Linked DNA regions of Mus musculus. The protein of the gene in region 1 purifies or fractionates together with the protein of each later gene. This does not show direct contact. Links are inferred from orthologs where the notes say so. Each region holds a gene or a part of one and is shown on either strand. Other genes may lie near its edges.

Region 1 (7,354 bases):
TTACAATTAATGTGCAGACTATATGCCTGAGCCGTCTCCCATCCATGGACTAAGCAGGCCCAAGCCTGCTTAGCTTCAGAAATCATATAAGATTGGGTGAATGAAGGGTAGGATGTCTGTAGTTGTACATCAGTCTTCTGAGAGCAAAAGAAAACGGATGTGTGTGTTTTGAGGGGGGGAAGGATTTCTTGTAGATTTAAAAGTGACAACAGAAAATCCACTATAACAACACAAATAGGAAATAAAACATCCATATGGAAATTATTTTCACAGGGTTAGCTCTAGTTATAGCCATGTTCCAGGGAGACATTTGATCAGAAAATCCAGAACAGGGAACAGCTGGAATCTAGCTACTGAGGCAAAGTGTGTATGTATTGTTTGAAAAGGAAGGATGAAATATCAGTAGAGAGAACTCGGTTGGTGGCAGGAGTTCTTTTTGGCATACTGCAGTTGTGGCGTTGTGCCTCCAAAGGCTCTCAGAAGCTCACTACTGGAAACTCACTGTTGAGCAGCTTTGGAGAGACAGATACATGGCACGCACATACATACATACACACACACACATACACACACACACACACACACACAGAGAGGGGGGGGGTTAGGAGGGGAGAGAGATCCAGAGCATCAGCCAGGTAGCAGTGAGCATCCATCTTAGAGTACTTTTAGTGGTAAGGATATCAGCTAGGAGGGTTTCAGTAAACATTCACTCACCTGGGGTGAGTCAGCTGCCTAGGAGCTTTCTATAGCAATTGATTTCAGTATCTAAAAGATAAAGACCAGAATACCTAAGAAAGCCCAAAGTACCATGGCCACTCAATCACCCCACACCCTAGAACTCAGAAGAGAAACTCAACAGTCCATGGAGATTTTAAACCAAAATAGCTCGTATGGAATCCGCCAACAACTGCTTCCTATGGCTTTAAACCTAAGACTAAAGGAAGTGTGCCCATAGATGTGATGGATAAATGATTTCCACTTCAGAACACTGAGTTCAAGATAAGCACAAGGCCCCATCTCTCTGCCTGAGTGGAGTTCTTCCTTGGACACTGGGCTATGCTCAGAGACAATGCTGGCTGATTATTGCTGCTTGTGTCCATGTGGACCACAGACAGCAAAGACACAGGCTGCAGGGAGGCAGAATAGCGAGCATCAACCACCAATACAAAGTATCAAGTTACCCAACTTTTCTCTTTGGTTCTACGAATGTATAAACAGGGAAGAAAGAAGTAACAGAATCCAGTTTCAGCTGAAGGCAAAACACCCTGTTATCTTTCTCACAATAGCACTAAACGGGGTTTGCAACCAGGGCCTGGCATTTAATAACAGAGAAGTTGATGATAATAGCTTCCAGTCTCGAAGAAGGAGTGCTATTTAGCACTTTGCATACTTGAAACTTTAAACATAAACTTCCCGTGGAGAAAGGATAACCCACCCACATTGCTTGCAAGTTGAGGCAGCAGGGTCAAAGAACAAGATTCCAACAGGCATGTTTAAGATGCCAGCTCTAATTTCTACTACTTGATCTCTCTCGGCCTCAGTTTCTTCCTCTCTAACATCAAGACAAAGCCATCTCCATAGAAGGCCTTCAGGGAGGCACTGCTGGAGACAGTAAATCCAATATTAACATGTGGCCAGGGTGTTTATATCCTCTCTCCTATTACACATGTGCACTGCTTCTACTGACCTCCAGCAACAGCTGTTTAATGTCTACAGCTTATCCCAAGACAAATTTCCTTTCACAGCATGAAACTTTTTCCCCAAAGTCAGCCTACGATACTTGACACCAGCTCAATACCTTCTCATCAGGATTCCACTTAAGCCTCGCACAACCCAACCAGGAAGGTACTGCAATTACACCCACCTATTTTACAGATGGAGACGCCGGGCACAGAATTCCGGTATTGCTCAGATTCAAAGCCAGCAATAGTGCCAACAGCCTGGTCTCTTGAAAGCCCACACTTGGACAAAATTTCTTCTAGGGGTCAGCACTCAATGCTCCTATAAACTACAATGTGATAACTAGCTTTTCAACGTTAAAATAATCTTTCTTTTTTCTTAGAATCCTTAAAATAATAACTATGCTTAAACCAGGTGCCTATAACTAGTTAGTTCATCTTGTTATATCCACTGAAGCACTCTAACCCATACATGCCTCTTTCTAAAGGTCACCTAAATAAATCTCACATTGACTCACATCCCTGAGTTTTTATTTCAAATCCATATGCATGTATATATTTTTCTGTGTGCATATTTCTTTCCATCTATGGATACATGTGTATCACAGGGCAGCTGCAATATGAGCTGTTTGGTTAATGCAAAGCTGGTACTCTAAATATTATCTTTCTTTATAACAGTCACTGCCTATCAGTCACACAGCAGGGCTGTATGGTATTTCAAAGAATTCCTTTTACAAATTTAATCAACTCAAGTATTAAACATCAATGGCATTAATCCATTGCTCTGCTTAAAAGGAATCTCTAGGGGCAGCTGAGAATGAAAGGTTAAAGATTTCTACCCTTCAAAGTAGGCCACTGTAGCTACCTATAAATCATGCTCTTTGTTTATTAAGATAATTAAGGCCATCAGTGCACTTCACTTTCAGACTCAACAATTGTCTGGTATGAGCAAATCTCCACTTTTACTAAAACAAAAGGGGATGTGTTCTAAAGAGGGTTCTGTGCATGCTCTCTGTACAATGTATGGTATTTTAAAGCATGATTTATGTATCTAATTCCTTGAACTGCCTTGAAAAAAATACACCAAGTTCTTCCTCCCATGCTCCCTATTAGGAGAAGACAGTCTAATTTAAAGACTGCCCTGTTTCTGACTACGAACCACTATATCATGTCAACGTTTTTATTAAATACGGCTCAAGCTGGACTTGAAAAAAAAAATGGAGTGAGTAGAGGCCCAGATGCAGCCCCTGCAGATGCAAAGGTACCCAGCCAGGAGGCTTACATAAGAGATGCAGGACAACTCAGCCATCCTCGGAATCCTGTTTCTTTGAGACTTGCCCACATTCTTAAAGCATATGAATTAAAACGCATAGAGCACTTTTCTCATTTTCTATGCCTTGGAGCACAAAACACTCATTTGACACATAAGTTGTTTTTCCCTAAAGGGCTAGGCTCCAATTATGGGAGGTTGGCAACTTCTGCCTAAGGGAAGAGTGAAGTGGGATGTGCAGAAAGCCTGCAGGCCCGAGCAGCAATGTCTCAGCTTCTCATCTCTGTGCCAGTCCTCCGAGGGGATGGAGGGGATGTAGGCAGAGCTTCCTAGGATGGAGGTGGCTGACGTCCCTGACCCCACGCGGCGCAAAATCAAGGAGCTCAGAATGTGCAATTTAGCGGCGGGCCAAATGCCCTCGGAGCACCTGTCTCCCCTAGCACATTTCCAGCTGGCACATTCGGGAGAGGCAGGAGCCAGCCCTAGACTCCAGCCTTGAGTCTTCGAATGCCATGCCCCATCCTTTACAGTCCAGTACGCCTTCCTCCAGCCGCAGCCCCGCTAACGGGAGGTAAAACCTCGGCCTGGAACCACAGGAATAAAACGAACCTGTCCTTCCCACGCTGCCCGAAACTTCAGAAACTACAGTCAACTTACTGGTTCGCAGAGGTCTTCTGGGGCTCCAGAGCTCTAAAAAGCGCTGCAACTCCGCTGCTCGCAGCCGGGCTGGCCCGCGGTGGGCAGTGGTAGCGGGCGCAGGACCCTCCTGATCCTCGTCGCCTCGGTTCTGCCGTGCCGGGGGAGGTGCGCTCTCCCGGGCGCACCGGGCGGCCGCAGAGACTCGGACTGCACCGGGAACCCGAGCAAACGCCGTCGTGGCCGCCAGCCCTTGAGAGCTGTGCTCGGAGCTCCGGGTGCGTGTCTCCCTCTCTGAGGGAATGCGACACCACGGAGTCCCCGCACGAGAGGCTCCAGAGCGCTGCAGAGTCACCAGTCCGCCCCGGAGGAGCAGTCACAGCACCCGCGCGCCGGGCGGGAACCGCAGTCCGCACTGGCCGCCGCGCCGCGGAGAATGACAGCGCCGAGGCGGAGCAGCGCGCGGGACTCAGTGCGCATGTTCGCGACTGCTGCGGCACGTCACGGGGGCGGTGCCAACGGGCGGGGTTGGGCGGAGCGAGAAGGGTGGGGCGGGGTCGGGGGGGGGGTTGCTGCGAGGCTAATGTGGCTGCCAGCTGCAGGGCAAGGAGCTGGAGCTTCGCAAAATCAGGGCTGGTGACCAAAAACTCTGTGACTGAGGTTGTCTCCTTAGCCCATTGTCCCTTAAGAAGCAGTCTATGGGGAACTGCCTTAGGGTCCCAGGACAGCCTGCAAAGGTCAAGTTTAACCCAGATGGTTGCTTAACCTTCAAGGACTGCAATTTGCAGGACACCTTTCACTTTGATCTGATGCAGAGTAAGAACTTGAGGAGCTTGTAGGAGCCCTTTGTCCTGGCTGGACTCCAAAGTAAACACAGGAGACTCTGAGAGGTGGGGCCCAGGTATGTAGGTTGTAAATAGCCTTGCCCAAAGCTCCCCAAGAGAATGTGCTGGTTGTATGGTAATACAACACTTGCCTACGCACATTCAGAAGGTCTGGAGGATGGGGAATCCCTATTCCAATAGGGTCCAAGACTATTCCAGGGCTGCAAGCCTCCCACACCCTGTTCTTCCTTGCCACTTACGAGGACAGAGACCCCAGAGCAGCTACTGGCGTGTGGGTCTGCCTGAGAATCAGGTGAAAATGCTTTTAACTTGGAATTTCCAAGGCGTATCCACTATGGTTCGGGTTCACCCACTGGGCACTGGGGGAGGGAGTGGGAGGGGAGATTGTGTGGGGGAGTGGGGTGGGGTGGGGAGGACTCGAATATTGCCTGGAACAAGCTGCAGATAAATCTGACAAGGGTTTTGTTGGCCTTGAATTTTAACTTATTAAACAAGCAACCCGGAAATGGGGATAGACAGTGTGGAAACAAATAACCAGTCCAGATGTGACACTCAGGACTTCTGAGCCAAGTCCACTGAACTCTAAACCAAACAGTTATTTGTCTGACAAGTTCATTTGTTTTCTCTAATGGGGAAGAACAGGCACGAGTGATATTAAACATACACACATTCACTCAGGTAGTGTGAAGTTGGCTGGATAAAAACGGCTCATTAGGAGCAAAGGGGTGGGAATAGGGAGTTGAGTAAAGGAGAAAGGAATGTTAATACGTTGCAGAGGAGGATGTGTAGGAGATATTAAACTCAGTCTTCAGCTTGGAAAGGTACTTTGAGAATAAGGATGCAGGATCCAACTTGGCTGGATTTAGAGGACGGTGAGAGGTTCGTTGGTTTGAGAACTTATAAAGGTCTGGATTTCACCACCAGGCTGTACTAGTGACTTTTCTCATTGCTGTGACAAAATGTTTGGCAACAGCAGCGACTCAGGGAATGAAGGCTTTGGTTCGAGCCATGCTTTGAGGGTCCAGTCTACCATGGCGCAGAAGGCAGCAGCGTGAGGAAGTCGGTCACACGGCATTGACAGTCGGGATGGATGAGAGGTGTTTAGTCCTTTTTATTCCAATATCCCAGTCCATGCTATGGCACTGCCCAAGGGCAGCAAGAGCCTCCCCTCCTCAGATAAGCCTCTCTGGGAACACCTTTCCCTAAGACACACCAAGTCCTGTAAAGCTGACAAGATTAACCACCACAATGACTTACCTCATTGAATCCCACAATGATCTTCTAAATTAGATATAGGAAGTTATTGTATCTATTTTTTGCTCTTAAAAAAATGCATTCTGTGGGGCTTAGTTGATGCAGTGCTTGCTGCACACACAAGAGGACCTGGATTGGGATCCCTAGAAAGGGACCACTTACAAAGCCAGATGTTGAAGCCACATCTGCTATTTCAGATCTGGGGGTGTGGAGATGGAGCGATCAGTGGGACTTGGGGACCAGGCTCAATCAGGGACATCCAGGTTCAGTGAAAGATCCTGACTCAAAAATGAGGTGCAGAGCAATTGAGGAAAGCACCCACTATCAAACTCTGGGCTCTCCATGTGTGCTCATGCACACACATGATCATGTATATGCACATATGTCACACACACAGCAATCAAGTCAAAGAATAAGCACCAAGAAGAGAACGCCCACTGAGCAGGTACGCCATGCTCTGGCTCCGGTGTGAGCAAGCTTCAGGTAACAGGAAATGACTGGAATCTTATAAAGAAAACTCTGCAATATTTTCCACATAGTTTGAGAGACTGTGATTGTTTGAATATGCTCTGCCCAGGTTGGTGGCATTATTAGGAGGTGTGGCCTTGCTGGAATAGGTGTGTCACTGTGGTTGTGGGCTTTAATACCTTACTTCTAACTTCCTGGAAGCCAATATTCTGCTAGCAGCCTTCATATGAAGATGTAGAACTCTCAGCTCCTCCAGCGCCATGCCTGCCTGGATGCTGCCATGTTCCCACCTTGATGATAATGGACTGAACCTCTGAACCCATGAGTCAGCCCCAATTAAATGTTGTCCTTATAAAAGGTGCCTTGGTCACAGCAGTAAAACCCTAACGAAGAAAAACACATTGCGAACTTTTTGAGTTAGGAAGGCTTTCATTTTTTCTAAGGAAGAAGTATGTCTCTTGTCTCCATCCCACTTTGCAGCTTCTTGAATTAGGGCTGCACAAAGTGGTTTCCAGAGCATCAGAATCCTGCAGTTACCTACACAAGATTGCCAGGGATTTAGAAGGGCAACATTCACACTCTCTGGGGACAAGTGCAATTACCATCCTCATTTCACACAGGAAGAGTGAACGAGGAGAAATCACTGATTCAGTCTCTTTCCCAAGCTCCCTTTACCAAACGACACACTAGAGATTCATTTCCATTTCCAAATTGCTCAGATCAGGATCTGCAATCATCCAATGAGAACTCACACGTGTTTCAAAGACGATCTTTATTAGTTAATGCATAGATAGCACTCCCTGTGTGTGAAGTTTTGGAAGCAAGTGTGTATTTATATATTATTCTACAGAGGTTAACCTCTCTCAACTGTATATATAGTCTCTTTTGATTATAAATTAGAAACGAATGAGTTCACAAAAACGAATTCATTTAAAATGAGGGATCTGCTCCATCATAGTAAATTTGGTTGAGTATTTTCTAATGACTTACTTATTCCTTTATATGTGGGTGTGCTGTGTGACATGTGTGCACGTGTAGCTGTCTCAGATGCCCTAAAGAGAGCACTAGATCCCTAGAACTGGCAACACAGGCAGTTGTGAGTTGCTGGATGTGGGTGCTGGGAATTGAACCTGGGTCCTTTGAAAAAGTAGTATATACTCTCATCCATGAAGCCGTCTCTCCAGCCCCTGGTACAGTTTGTT
Region 2 (7,461 bases), on another chromosome or scaffold:
AAGTCATGTTTTGTATTTAATTTTATATATATAGATAGTAATATGACTATGGCTTTTTGACACCCTTGCTATTATTTTACCCACATGCCTCTTTCTCCTGTATTTATCTCTCTCCCCTCTCCCAAATTAACCCCTTTCAATTTTTCCTATTTCCTCCTCCAATTTGCCTGTACCCCACCATTCCCCATTTCTGCCATTTTCTCCTCTACTTTCCGGGGCTTTGCAGTTCCTCCAGATTACGCACTCACATATGAAAACTTGGAACTGGGAACCACAGATGAGAAAGAGCATGGGATGTGTGTTTTCCTGGGTCTGAGTCACATCACTCAAAATGATCTCTACCCAAAATAGCTATCCAAATAGCTCTCTATCAAAATAGCTCTACCCATTTGCCTGAAAAATTCCATGGTTTCATTTTTCTTTACAGTTGAGTATTCCACTGGGTACGCGTCCCACATTGTCTTTAGCTGAAGAACATTTAGGTTGTCACCATGTCCTAGCTATTGTGACTAGAATGGCAATGAATATGGCTGAGCAAGTAGCTGTGAGGTATGATGTCATCATGTCTTTTGGGCATATGCTGAGGCGTGGTCACTTAGAATGCATTTCCTTTGTACATATCTGTGTGTCTTTGTGTAAGGTGTGTATGCATACATGTTTAGAGGTGTTCATACATGCTTGGGGGTGCACTTGCACACATATGCAGTGCCTGTGGAAGCCAGAGGTCAATGCTGGGCTTTCTAAATTGGTTCTCTAACATATTTCTCAGACAGGGTCTCTCACTGTTTCTGGAGGTCCAGACACTTGCCACTGTAACGGCTTTCATTTTTGTTTTGTTTTGTATTTTTCTCTTTTCTTTTCTTTTCTTTTCTTTCTTTTTCTTTTCTTTTCTTTTTTCTTTCTTTCTTTTTTTTTTTTTTTCTGAGACAGAGTTTCTCTGTATAGCCCTGGCTGTCTTGGAACTCACTTTGTAGACCAGGCTGTAGACCTCAAACTCAGAAATCCACCTGCTTCTGCCTCCCAAGTGCTGGGATTAAAGGAGTGAGCCACTACCGCCCGGCTGTAACGGTTTTGATAATGTGTGTTTTGGGGCTTTGTTAATGTGTGTTTTGGGGACTCAGACTCAGTCTCATGTGTACAGCAGCAAGCCATTTATTCACTGATCCATCTCCCTTCCTTGCACATTAGTTTTTTTTTCCAGTTTCAGTAACCATTTTTATTTTCTTGTTTGATTGGTAAGAAAACAAAAATCTCAAAATGGGAAACAGCTTAGCTAATAACACTAAATATACATTGAAAGCAAAACAGGAAACACAGATTAGACAAACCAAAAAAGAACACTAGACTAGAAACAGGGGACTTAAAGGTGAGAGAAACAGAACAAACAAAAACCCAAGCAAATAACAACCAAATCTAAGAGAAATTCTAGAACAATGTCTCTCCATTTGTTGGGTAATAGATACTGCCTGTAAGAAAATAAAATTTCAGGTTTAGAACAAAGCATGGCTTGCCTTGGGTAGGCTGAGGACACTGTTTAAGTCAAATCTACTTTGATGACCTTTGGGAGCAGATCAAAATGGGAAATAATGCTAACATCTTTCCAGGGCTTTCTCACTTGTTCACAACATCAGCAAATCTTCTTGTGGAGACAGAATCCCTTTAAAGCTATCCGGAGGAAGAGTTGTGGGGTTTTCCTGTTTTTTTGTTTTTATTTATTTTTTTCAAAAGTAAGTAAAGAGAAAAAAACAGAACAGAGTCTTGCTGGGAGTTGGTTAATTTGTCATTTAATCATTTTGCCTCTTATTGGTCCACTAATTACGTGAAGAAGCTATTATGCTGCAGATGCCAAAAATGAGACTCCTCTCAAAGAAATTATTAACAATGGAGTGACTTAGTACCATCTGCTCCAGGTTTCAGGAAGAGATCGGACATGGAATTCCTCAGTGTCACCTTCTCTTGTCCTCAGTTTCCTCGTCCATCACATGAGGATCATTTACTGAATAGCAGCAAATTTCTCAAAAGAGCACTGCGGAAAAGACAAAGAAAAAAAAGTCAGCAAAAGAGACTGGTATTTTTAAACTACAGGGGAAATGTACTGAGCAGGAAAGATAACACAGACCTTGAGCGCCTAAGGAAGCCAAGGCTGCTTCGCTTAAACTTACTTCTTAGAAGATTAGATTTGCTGAGGGGGAGGGATGAGTTTCTTACCAAAATCATTAAAGAAAATGATTCTGAACATGTCTTAAAACAGAGTTCTCAGTAAACAGGAATTGCCTATAAAGAAAATCAGGAAGGCAAAATGTTTCTTTTTATGAAGTTACATCCTGCCATAGAAAAGCTGAATCGGAAATAAAGACTGCAGACCAACCCGGCTATTATTTCGTCAAGGAAAATCTGAGCAAAAAGCTCAGCTCAGCCACCAGCGAAAACAAGAAAACCAAGAGAAGTTTGAATGCCCCAAGGAGCCAGACGAGCAATGGCCACTGGTAAACAGCTAGGGAAAAGCACAAGCAATCTCTACTGGGTGGTTTTGGGACTCTTTGTTGCAGGCCCCTTGAATTTCAGTCATACTTCTCTTTCACTTTTCCTGGGGTAGGTGTGGGGGGGGGGGCGGGGAGCATATTTGGGTACCCAAGAAAATGAGACTAACAAGTCATTAATTTCTTACTATTTGTTGTGCGTTTGCTGGTCCTAGCTTTCCCAGTTTCTGCAATGGTACTTCTCTACTTTGCTCCTCACTTCCCTAATTTGCCATCGCCATTCTTAACACCTTTCCATTTTATCCTCCCACTCTCAAAGGCGAGGCTATCTCTTTGGAGAAATAGGTTCCCATGGCTGTGAGGCTGGAGTGGCAGGTGCCAGTCTCCACTGGCAAAGTGGAAAGCAGCTCATTCCCTGCGCACTCTCCTGCCCACCTCACCAACTCGCAACTCCACACGATCCTCAGACACACAACTCTTCCTTCTCCGCCAACCTCGCATCCTCTCACACACCCTGTGGCCGTGCGCACCGCAGGCTGCCCGCCACCACTGTAAAGCTCAACCCACTCGGCGGCCCCACCCATGGCCGTCCCGCCTCCGACGCATTCACCAATGGCTGCCGGCGCTCAGCCCTCAGCGGGCCCTTTGATAGGGCAGAAAGACCTGACAGTCTCAGGGCGTGTCCCGCCCCCTCTCGAACCCCTCGGGATCCGGAGCAGCCCGAGCATCAGCGAGAGTAGCTGCGAGAAGCCGCGGCGGTGGCGGCGGCGCGTCGGTGCAGTTGCGCCATCTGTCAGGAGCGCAGCCGGCGGGGAGGGGGCTCCGCAGAGAGGAGGAGGGGTCGCCGTGCGCCGGGCCTCCGAGACCCGCCCGCTGGTCAAGAGCTCAGCGAGGCCGCCTCTAGCCGGAGCGTTTCGAGGACTCCCCGGGCACACACAAAGCCGCCACCCGCGCCAGGGAGGGACCGGGCTGCCGGGCCGGGGACACCGGCGCCGCCCCCTCGGCGCTTCGCGAGGCCCACGAGCTCCTGGGCCCCGCCGCGGAGCCGCGGGAGCCGCCTGGGCCGCGCCGGAGGAGGGCGGGGAGAGGACCATGTGAATGTGCTCCGGAGCTGAGCGCCAAGCCAAGCAGGTAAGCGACAGGGGATGCGCGGAGCCTCGGGATGCTGCGGAGACGCCCGGCCCAGCGCCCCCGCACGGGCTGCTCCCGCTGCGGTCCCGCCGCGCAGCCTCCAGGGCGCCCCGCGACGCAGGACACTGATGCGGGGTGCCGCCCCGAGGCTGCGCAGGCACCGGGGTGTCTTTCCTCGGCCGCCGGCGGGTGCCGGGTGGAAAATAGGAATTGGCTTGGGGGTGAGGTTGGCCCAGCTCCGCCCCCGCCCTCCTTTCGCGGCCCCCCGCGGGGACCAGGGCTGTGTGTGTTGTTTTAATGTCAGGGATGATGTAATCACTTAATAATTGATGCCCCGTGCTGCTTTCCTCCCCACCCAACCCCTGCCCCACTCCTCCACCTCTCGGCTTCCTCCCTCGGTGGCCCTTGCCGTTCCCCAGCGCATCCTCCTGCCTATTTCTGGAACCTCCCTTGCACTTCCCCCACCCTCCCCTTCACCCTTCCTGTGCTACCACCCACCCACCCTTCCCCTTTCCCCTGTGTCTGGCCTTGCCTCCTCTTCCTCTGTCCCCCCACCCCTTTTGCTCTCTCAAGCTTATTTCTCCTCCCTTCTCGACACGCTGGATTTCCTCCCTACTTCCCTAGGTCGGTAGACGGTTTTGTTTGGTCTCCTCTAGGCTCTCTTATCTTTGAGGCCACAGGGACTGACTGAGCTAGAAAGAGGCCACCAAGCTTGGGCCCAGGAGGCGTTTGCTGGGACTCACTGGGAGGAGGGATAATAAAATCACCCGTTTTGCCCCTCCTTCCTCTAATAAATCAGACTCATTCTGTGTGTGTGTGTGTGTGAGTGTGTGTGTGACACAAAGAGCCCTTTCAGTTCATAGAGGAGAGACACATAAAGTACCCAGGGCACCATGCTTCTTGTGTCTCATCCCTGGGGCGTCCCTTTCTTTCTGGTGAAGCAGTTGATCTCTTAGTCTTTTCTGCCACACTTACCAAAAAATGAAGGCTCCCGGATCCCGGGTGGCAGGTGCAGGCATTTAGCTGTGTTTACAGACTGGTAGCATTGAGTGGCAACTGCAGTTTTCTCTATTTAAGGTGGTGGTGGGGGGGATTATTTCAGCTGTTTTAGGAGTTGCTATACTTTCAAGGAACCTTCCCCTATCCCTCATTTCCCCCCTTTTCTTCTTGGGGGATAGTTACTGATACCTGAGACAGGATAAATTGATGAGGGATCAGAAGAATTTTGTGTCTGAGTCAGAATCAAACTGTTTAACACGAGTGAGGCAGCCTGACTGGATTCCCTAAAGTCCAAGGCCTCTTTGCTGAGTGAAGTCTTTTGAAATGTGCTCTGGTCTGCCCAGCAATGCTGCCTAGCCCTTTTATTTAAGAAACTGGGGCCATGGATAGCAAGCACTTGGGCTGGCGTTTGGAAGACCCTGGAGGTGTACCACTTGTCTGCTTCAAGGTTGACTTTGGAAGCTCACATCCGGCCTCTCACCCTTTGTGCTCAGTCTCCCTGTCTGGCTCTACCCAGTGAGTACCACACATTCAGACTTGGAGGAAGTGGTTTCAACTCTCACACTTTGGGTCTAGTTAATTATGAACAGGGGATGTAGATGTCTGAGTTCAGAACCTATGGTGTTCCTCTGAAGGTAGAAATGTTAATGTAAGTCTCAGGCTTAGTTTGTCAAAACTTAGGTCTGATCTGCTGATTCCTGGGTTGTGGGGTCTCAACTGTTGAAAGTAACGAAACTGTCCCAAGTTTACTCTTTAGCTGTTTTATCTGAAAAGAGTTGTGATCCATTAAGCTGACATCTTTTGTGGAACATATATATTTATACATATACACACACAGTAGAAGGGCTAATACTGAATGTTCTCTGAAAACAAAGGCTGGTTTGTTGGGATGCCAGACCCAGAAAGGAAAGTCAGTACACGATAAACTTGCACCGTACTGACCAAGTCAGAGGCACTTATTAATGATAAGGTTGCATGAGTGTGGGCGAACACCTCTACTTTCTGGAGGTCTGAAGTCCCCTCCCCCATCGTCTGATGTTCTTGAAGCCCAGGCCCAGCACACGTGTCAATTCTGAAGCCTTTGCCAGCTTCTCTGCTCCAGGCAAGCCACCATGTCTTCAAATTTGTCTTCCAACACCATTATCAGATTCTGTTTTTGTTTTCTGTCCATTTCTGCCATTGGGTAGAGAACCTAACCCAATGGTTTCTTGGTTTCTGTCAGGTTTTACTTTTGTTGGTATTACCTGGTAGTTCCATTTAATGAGCGACAAATGTGAATTAGATCAACGATATGGACCCAACGTCTTTTAAAAGAGACTCATGTTAGTAGCTAGAGCAGGCCTGAAAATGTATAATGGTGCTAAACCAAAATATATTTATTTTTGTTCACATGTAGCCCTGCATAGGTGTCTCTGCTCAGTAGCTGGCTTTCTTCTGTCCTGAGTGATTCTGGGTCCCATTATCCTATCATGCCACAGCTTTCCATAACCTGTTGTAACAGTTTCAACCTGTTTCAACGGATTGGTGGGATGAAGAGTTGGGGAGGGTGCATCTACCTTTAAAATGCTTTGGTCTGCACATGTCACTTCCACTCTGTCTTTAGAAGAGTCGTGGCTATATGACCATGCTTAACAGCAAGAGAATCCAATGAGAAGTGTAGGTTAGCCATGTGCCCCGAGAAAGGAAAAGGCTTGTGTGTTTGGTAAACACTTTTGCATAATAACACTTAACAAAAGCCATCATTGTTTGGTTGCTTTGATTTTCATCTTCAGCATGTTTTTTAAAAACCTGGCATTTTGTGATTTCGGGGGACCACTTATCACGGGGCGATCCTTAGCCACCACTCAGTCCTGGCTCTGCGGTCTTTGATGGGGTTCTTTTACCACAGAAGCACCCATCTTGGCCTAGTCTTCTTCAGGCAAGTCTGGAAACTCCAGAGAGTTTCTGTAAGGGAAGAGCCTTACAGATCGCAGTACCATTTTACGTACTTTCCTTAACAATTAAACTGACACTTGGTGACCCCAGAGGAGGGAGGGCTTCATGGGGACTGGACAGTGCAGACAAGGGAGTGAGAGTCGTATCTATTTGCTTAGGTTACTAAGGACTGAACCTCCGTTACTGTCTATTCACTGACACGGCTTTCTTTTATGACAGTTGCTGGTTTAGTTGGGAATTAGGCTTTTCCTCTTTTCCTTCAGCATCTTTCCATCACCAGCTTTCTTGGCTGTGTCTTTTCATCCAACACGTTACATGGAGGCTAATCCGTTAGCTTCTGGACCTGGAATAGGGGAACTGCTAGTGTTCCAAATGGTTCCTGGTCTCCACCGACCCCCTACATTAGTATAGGAGTCCAGCCCATACTGGTGATTACAGTTTATATTGTACTTTTATTTTTTTCAGTGACCATTTCCTTACATTTATCTGTCCTACAAACACTGTGCTGTTTCATGCAAAAAAGCAATGAGATAGGGCTGTGGCACTGAATGCATCGGAGCCCTTGTTCTACAGAAGCCCACAGCCTACTAGAGAAGATGGCAACAACACACAATAGCTGATGTTTATTGAGCACTCACCCTGGGTCATGTTCCACTTACAAGCTAATCTGAGCGATAATGATATGAAACAATGTCTCTGATAATCACTGTGTTGTGAAAGGAAAGTTACAAGCTTCAATAGTCTTGAGTAGCTAATTCTAAGGGAAGAGTCGGGATCAGGAACAGTTAGTGTGGCTACAGTATCTTTACCCTAGGCCACCAGGTGCAGGAGGAGGTAGGTGGGAGTGAGACTTGGTTAGCTGGATATTGTGGGAAGTCCTTTGTATCGTTTGGGATGCTGTAACTAGTTCAAAACT

Evidence for each region.
Region 2: the proteins of Pag1 (region 1) and Fyn purify together in Homo sapiens (co-immunoprecipitation; 3 studies listed by BioGRID and IntAct, with this or other methods). This does not show direct contact. The link is inferred for Mus musculus from reciprocal best matches to the Homo sapiens genes PAG1 and FYN.

What each region holds. Positions count from the first base shown.
Region 1 is NC_000069.6:9,829,605-9,836,958, forward strand, and holds the start of Pag1 (phosphoprotein associated with glycosphingolipid-enriched microdomains 1), read right to left. Parts: upstream 4,076-7,354; 5' UTR 3,607-4,075; intron 766-3,606; exon of another isoform or gene 715-765; intron 1-714. UniProt on the Homo sapiens protein: Negatively regulates TCR (T-cell antigen receptor)-mediated signaling in T-cells and FCER1 (high affinity immunoglobulin epsilon receptor)-mediated signaling in mast cells.
Region 2 is NC_000076.6:39,366,580-39,374,040, forward strand, and holds the start of Fyn (tyrosine-protein kinase Fyn), read left to right. Parts: upstream 1-3,219; 5' UTR 3,220-3,611; intron 3,612-7,461. UniProt on the Homo sapiens protein: Non-receptor tyrosine-protein kinase that plays a role in many biological processes including regulation of cell growth and survival, cell adhesion, integrin-mediated signaling, cytoskeletal remodeling, cell motility, immune response and axon guidance.